Tribolium castaneum: one gene and its partner. The protein of the gene in region 2 binds, or shares a complex with, the protein of the main gene of each other region. Links are inferred from orthologs where the notes say so. Each region holds a gene or a part of one and is shown on either strand. Other genes may lie near its edges.

What was found. The genes of interacting proteins can lie anywhere in the genome.
Region 1: the proteins of probable inactive tRNA-specific adenosine deaminase-like protein 3 (region 2) and tRNA-specific adenosine deaminase 2 are in contact, whole or in part, in a crystal structure (PDB 9HMM), measured with the Mus musculus proteins. The link is inferred for Tribolium castaneum from reciprocal best matches to the Homo sapiens genes ADAT3 and ADAT2. Residues at the interface, in NP_001094076.1 of Mus musculus: Val217, Ala218, Pro220, Leu221, His223, Ile229, Asp230, Ala233, Gln236, Gly237, Glu270, Ser272, Pro274, Val276, Val290, Met291, Met294, Ala295, His298, Ala299, Pro311, Asp312, Leu318, Phe319, Val321, Arg324, Asp326, Leu327, Asn328, Pro349; in NP_080024.3 of Mus musculus: Val62, Asn63, Lys66, Asn67, Ala68, Thr69, His71, Met74, Ile77, Leu81, His85, Pro91, Cys107, Ile108, Met109, Ala112, Ala113, Leu116, Met117, Arg130, Phe131, Val137, Leu138, Ile140, Asp144, Leu145, Pro146, Asn147, Thr148.

Annotation. Positions count from the first base shown.
Region 1 is NC_087396.1:22,588,640-22,592,794, reverse strand, and holds the start of tRNA-specific adenosine deaminase 2, read left to right. Parts: upstream 1-1,352; 5' UTR 1,353-1,482; exon of another isoform or gene 1,483-1,506; coding exon of another isoform or gene 1,507-2,040; intron 2,041-2,134; coding exon of another isoform or gene 2,135-2,286; 5' UTR 2,287-2,338; coding exon of another isoform or gene 2,339-2,372; 5' UTR 2,373-2,384; coding exon 2,385-2,903; 3' UTR 2,904-3,831; coding exon of another isoform or gene 3,832-4,155. Other genes in the region: uncharacterized protein LOC660305, read left to right, coding at 77-194, 241-480, 530-613; Smug (single-strand selective monofunctional uracil DNA glycosylase), read left to right, coding at 1,507-2,040, 2,135-2,286, 2,339-2,372; Hexim (protein HEXIM1), read right to left, coding at 3,832-4,155. UniProt on the Homo sapiens protein: Probably participates in deamination of adenosine-34 to inosine in many tRNAs.
Region 2 is NC_087396.1:13,020,132-13,022,909, reverse strand, and holds probable inactive tRNA-specific adenosine deaminase-like protein 3, read right to left. Parts: upstream 1,563-2,778; coding exon 609-1,562; downstream 1-608.

The sequences.
Region 1 (4,155 bases), about 9.6 Mb from region 2:
TTTTATTCATTGTAATATAAGAAAATACACTCACGTACAGATAAATTTGGTTTATTCAGCTCGTAATAATTTTCAGGCTGCATATGAACATCCACTACCTGGAGCGTCCGTTTCGTTGCCACTCGTGTTCGGTCAGTTTTCGCACCAAGGGCCACTTGCAGAAGCATGAGCGAAGTGCTAGTCATCACAACAAAGTAAAATTTGGTTTTTGTTTTGTTGTGTTTTGATTTAGTTTTTTAGCTGTCGTCATCGCCTGCTTTGTCCTCGTCGGAGCCTCGGCCGTTTAAATGCGTCGATTGTAATATAGCGTTTCGAATTCACGGCCACCTAGCGAAACATTTGCGCTCGAAAATGCACATCATGAAATTGGAGTGTCTCGCGAAAATACCGTTTGGTTTGTACGCAGAGTTGGAAAGGTCTAACAGTCTGTTGACGGAAATTAACACTGCTGATGGGGACCAATGTTTAGAGAGCTTAAAGGTTGGTATCAAGCGACGAATCGGCGAGTGGATTAATTGTTCTGTTGCAGACTTTAGCCAAGAAAGTTTTTATCAACGATCCAAATAAATTAAATCAATTGAATTCAGCGGAGAGTATAGATGCCGATAGCTAGGTAAATTAATTTAATTTTGTCAAGACTGAATCAAAATCTTAACAAAAAAAGAGTATACATTTTATAACACTATAGTAGAAATTAAATATAAAAGATATATTTTAAATCATCTCTCATGTGTCAAATATGTTATGTGATATATGAATAAGCTAGGTAGATGTGTTGGAATCATGTTTTAGTTGGCGGCGATTTTATTTTTACATTTTGTTTTTATATGCAAGCGACTCCCAATCGTTTTATTTTTATTTGGTTGTACAGTGGGAATCAAGTTATTTTATATTTTGATCTTGTTTTAAGATTATCTTCCTTAAGTTGATATTATTACCTGTTTTTAGGTATTTTACATAGAGACATTATTCTTAAGTTTTAAGTGTTGTATAATAGACAATGTTAAGATAATTTTCATCGTTGTAAATATTGTTTATGTTAGGCAATTTGTGTACTGTTTGTAGCTACATGAGTTAACACACTTCTGTAATCTTCGAGGTTATGAGATTCTCATTTGTGCCAGACACTCAGCTCTATTCTTTTTTAAACTGTAGTCTTGCAGGAAATTAAACTTCTTTTGTGCAAACTGTTAGTTTATATTGTTGAAAAAAGTACAAGATTATTATAATTGTTATTGATGAAATTTTGTTTTAAATATAACTATTAATTTTCCTCTGCGTTTTATTTAAACAAATGACTGAAACACCTTCCAATTAGTGCCATTACACATAACCATCCCAAACGTTGGTATGAGTTACGTTGGTACTCCTTTTTACCAAATTACAGGAACCTGTAGTTTTAATTTATGTTTACCAAACAAACACGAAAATTGCCTTCTGGAGCCAGAAAAGCCGCAAAAATTGATGGGACTGATCGAAAAGGTTGGTAGTTTCCGCCCCTTAACCATGCTGAAGCGCAAGCTGTCCAAGCCGTCCCTTGATAACCCCCTTAAAATCGCACGTGCCGACTTTGCCCAAAAATTCCTGGACATCCAGCTCGAACTCAACACAGCTCTCAAGCCCCTCCGGTTCAAGCCGCCGGTGGCGTACGTCTACAACCCCGTAGAGTACGCCTTCAAGGCGAACGAAAGCTACGTGCGCAAGTACTGCCAGGGCCCCAAAAAACTGCTCTTTTTGGGCATGAATCCCGGCCCCTTCGGCATGTGCCAGACGGGGGTGCCTTTCGGCGAGATCAAGTCGGTGCGCGATTGGTTGGAAATCGAGGAAGAAGTCGGTAAGCCGGAGAAAGAGTGCCCCCAGCGCCCCGTTCTGGGCTTCGCCTGCACCCGCTCGGAAGTCAGCGGGGACCGGCTCTGGAACGTGCTGAAAAAGCTGTGTGGCAGTCCCGAGAATTTTTTCAAGAATTGTTTCATTTATAACTATTGTCCGATCGCTATGTTGAGGAGCGATGGGGGCAACTTGACTCCGAGGGACATCAAGGTATTTGCTAACTTTGTTCAAAAATTAAAAAAATTTGCTTTTATGATTTATCTAATAATTGTGCGAAATTATTCTGTATGTATTTTTGTTGCAGGACACCCAAGTCTTGGAGGAAATCTGCGACCGCCACTACTTTAAAATCATAGAATTGCTTCAGCCTGAAATAATTATCGGGATCGGGGAGTATGCAGAGAAGCGGTCTTTGGCCACTTTGAAGAACAACAACAGCAACATCCGGGTCATCAGGTTGCCCCACCCGAGCCCCCGCTCGAAAAACAACCAAAACTGGGCCGAAAAGGCCGAAACTTTTTTCAAAAACCACGACTTGCTGAAATACATGACTGATGGAGCCCCTACTGACCAAAACTGAGCAGGAATTCATGGAGCGAGCCTTCCAGCACGCCTACGAAGCCCTCGCAGCCCAGGAAGTCCCAGTAGGTTGTATTTTTGTCCATAATAACACTGAAATCGCCTTTGGGCGCAACACAGTCAATCAAACAAAAAACGCAACAAGACATGCGGAAATTAACTGCATTGAGCAAGTGACCGACTATTGCAAAACAAATAATTTTAATTTGATTGATTTTTTTAAAGGAGTGACTGTTTTTGTGACCGTTGAGCCGTGCATTATGTGCATCAATGCGTTGTTTGACTTGCAAGTGCAAACTATTGTTTTTGGGTGTAGGAATGATAGGTTTGGGGGGCGCACTGTGTTTGATGTTGCGGGGGTTGTGCACCCGAAAACTATCATTAAAGGGGGCTTTAGGGCCGACGAGGCTATGAATTTGCTAAAGGAGTTTTACAAGGGGGTTAATCCGAGTGCCCCCCCTTCTAAGGTCAAAGTTAGGGGCAAAAAAACATAGGCTAAGTTTTTTACTGTTACGTTTTGATACGAAAAGTTGTTTCCTTAAGAATAAATTTTAATTTCTGTTTCACTTAAACCGCAACATTTTTATCAAATTGACTGTTTCTATCCCAAAAATATCACACATCCAACTGTCTAAAAACCCCAAACTTCCTATGCTTTTAACAATTTTTTAACTATTTGAAGGATAATTATTTTTTTTGCACGTTGTTGTTACATGAATTTAATTTTTAACGAAACTCGCTCAGAAATTACGTTTCCGTTTGAAAAATGTACTAAACCGATGGAAAAAGGCTAAAATAATGCCAAAATCTAGAAGAAACGAGTGATTTTAACGCCTCACTTTTTGGAAATTCGCTAATTCTGTTTCTGACTAAAAGGCTTCAGAAATCTTTGTGCTGTTTACGTAATTTTTTAAATATTGTTAAATCAATAAAATACTTACTTTTCCAACTTGCTTGGGCATTTTGAACTTTAGGGTGCGTGTCACCCTGTAATATCTCTCCCTAGCAGCGGCAAAGGTTAAAAGAGAAAGAATTCAAACGTCGTAAGCGTCATTTTAACTTATTATTTATGCAATAATTTAAATCTAGATTTCTTATCTACAAATTTCAATATAAAAACGTACATCTTTTATAAATAATGATATAATACAAAAAAATGGCCGAACCTGTGGAACTAATAACATTTGAAAGAAAAAACCGACTAAGTAACTATGGAGGACAATGTATAAGAGTGTCTATTGTGATGCGATGCATGTCCATAAATAATCGAAAAACGAAACGAAAAACCTGCTCGAAGCACTTTACACTTACTGTCTCTACACCTAACGAAAACAAAACTGGAATCGAGAACAGCCCTTTAAAATTTAGGAATGAAACAACACTGGTATTAAAACTCTCAAAACTCAAAAATGAAAGCCCACTTCAGACGGTTTCAACGCTCGCTGAATGGCCATTAGTCTGCGAGTAGTCGAGCACGGGACTCGGCGGCGCCTCGGCCGAGCAACAGCTGCTACTACTACTGCTCGTGCTCGAGCACGAGTCGTTCGAATCCGTCTCGGAATCTTCCGAATCCGAACTGCAAGTCTTACTACGCAACGCGGCGTTTTCGCGTTTTAAAGCTTCGTTTTCGATCGTCAGTCTTTCAACTTCGCTCTGGAGCTCCACCGACGAGCTGGTGGAGGTGACCTCTCTTTTGCGTTGCCGCTTCGTCAGCAGCTCCAGTTTGCTCTCGAGCATGAGGTACTC
Region 2 (2,778 bases):
TCAAAGCAATCACAATTTGGCTAGTGTTTAATTTCTTTTTCTATTTCAAGATTTGTTTACTACGCGAAACATTTTAAACCAAATCACTTTTTTTCAGTATCTCTTGATTAACATTGACGCAAATTTTCTAAAAGGATGCGATTTGCAACAATGACCTTTGCGATTTAGCACACCATTATGAAATGAAAATCAACAAATATTCGAGTTAAAAAATATATTTCACAGTAAGCATACAGTTTTTATCATACAATTAAGTATAAAACAAACATGAATACATGCTACATTTAGTAAAATCGTCCTTACATAACGCGACAAAAGCGTGATTTGGACAAGTGCACAAATTTTACGTTATCTAAGGCTGATGACGCACTTGTTTCGGCGCAAAATTTCATTACCGCAAAACCAATTACAACTCACCGAAAGCTCCATAATAACAAAACCTAGCACTTCACGACTAACACGACGTTTCAAATAAAATGTTTCTGTCAATATCTGTAATCAAAGCGAGCGTTATCTCGTATAACAAAAGTTTAACGACTATCTATTCTATAGAGGTCAAGGAATCACTCGCTTTAATCCCACAGCTTGTACACAAATTAAGGGTAACGTCAAGCTCGGCATTCCTCTTCCAACAGTCCGGAAAACGCCTCGTAATGATGGTTCAAATTCTCCACTACATGAATTTTGCACAAACTCCCCAAAGCACCTTTGGCACTTTTGACACCGTAGAAAACCCGTTTCGCGCGACTGTGCACCAGAGCCATGGCACAAGTGATGCACGGTTCAGTGGTACAATAAACGGAATAGCCGGTGCACAGGTAGGGACCCTCGGCCGAATTGCTGAACCCAAACCCCAAATTCTTGTATTTCGTTTCAACGAAAGTCTGAATTTTTTCGTAGTCCTGGTGTCTCTCCCAGACGCCTCCTTTCTGAGTCCTTGCCACCTCGTCAATGGCCACCATCACGGCATGCTTGACAGGGTATTCCTGGGTCAAGTCGAACCCAAAAGCCACAACGGTGCCACCAACAGGATCAACCACAACTGCACTCTCCCTAACTCCCGTGATTTCGCAAATATCGATCGCAATCCTCATGAACTCAGCGTGCTTTTCCAACTCACTTTGCGTGAAAAGCGAATTCGTGCTGAGCTTTTCCAGGTAGGGATTGCTGTGGAAATTGCACGGCCACAGCTTGTGGACCACTTCGTACTGCTTGCGCACTTTTGGCGCGATTTGGGCCACTTTCCCCACTTTGATGTCACTCTCAATTAGGTTGGTATTGAACCCTTTTCCAGACAAAAATTTTGTGACATTATCCCTCTCCACAATTTCCTTGGGGAAAAGTAGAATTTCCCTCCCTTTGACTCGCTTCAGATGAGTGAGTTCGGGAACTGGCAACAGTGAATTCAACTCAACTACAACCCTGGATATGGTTTTGGGGTCCTTGATTGTGGCTAAATAAACTTCGATAAGTGGCAATTCCTGGGTTAAATCGTCCGCTAAAACTGGAGTTAACGCAGCTTTCGTTGACACTTCTAATTTTAGTCTTTTCGCTTCGTTCATTTTCTTTTGCAGACGCGTCACAAAGATTCATTCACTTTGTTGGCTTTGCCAACTTTGTGACATGTTTTACACAATTTTCCTTCCTTCCGAATCTTCATCGACCTCGCCACACCTGCCACAAGTTCACATTACTCCGTTTGCTTACTCTTCTATAAATAAATGCTAATAAATTCGCTGACAACAATTGAAAGTGTATCCTTTCAGATTGATGTCGTCGACGAGCAATTAAATGCGATTCTCGTTACGAGAATGTAATAAGGGGCACGTGTAACCTTTAGGGATGTCTCAAGTGATTCCGTTATGGATCGGCTCTTTAATAACATGAGAAGATGCCAACACTGAATTGGCTATTTTTGTTTGCAAATCGATGGGTCGTTAAGATCGACCAACCCATGTTTTGGAACCGGCGCAAGTTTCGCAACCTTCGGAAAATTCGTTTTTGATCATTTCGCAACCACTGGGAAACCTTGCGTAATGTAACACAGCAAAATATCGGAAACGAAAAAGAAAACAAACACTGGCTAGCACTAGCATGTAAATAAAGAAAGCCTAAAATACATATTTACGGTATAAAATCTATACCGTTTTTGGTCTAAAACAATTGTTCGAAACAGTTCTGTTGTAAAAATATGATAATCAATATCCATATCAGAGATGTTATTTCAAACACAAATCCCTAACTTATTAATAAGTTATCTGCGTGATGTCCCTAGAATACTAAATTTGTATAAACACCAACACGAAATAATAGAGGTCCAACCGATAATTCTAACAGTTGTAGAAAAAGCTTCTTTTTTTACGTGTTTTGCAGTTTTGCAATAGCACGTTTCGAGTAACACCACTTTCTATATTTACATGTGATAAATATTAACATTTCTACTTCTGGTCTTCACCTGTTTACTCCAAAAAGAAATTAATTACAGCGCTAGTGATAAAAGTCATAGAATATTATCGCAAATAAGCTATACTTACATTAGACTTTGACCAAATATTCAAAAGTTACTAGTCTCAGAAAATTAAAGACTTGGAACCAAACTGGAATGATAATTAATTATATATATTAAGTATTATATTAATTATATGGACTTTTATTTCCACACAATTTTGACAAAATAAATAAAAACTTGGTTTTTCCATTACCCAGACTATGAATTAAAAATTATGTAAATCCATTAAATAGAAAACAAATCAAGATTTTTATGTTCCCATTAAAAAG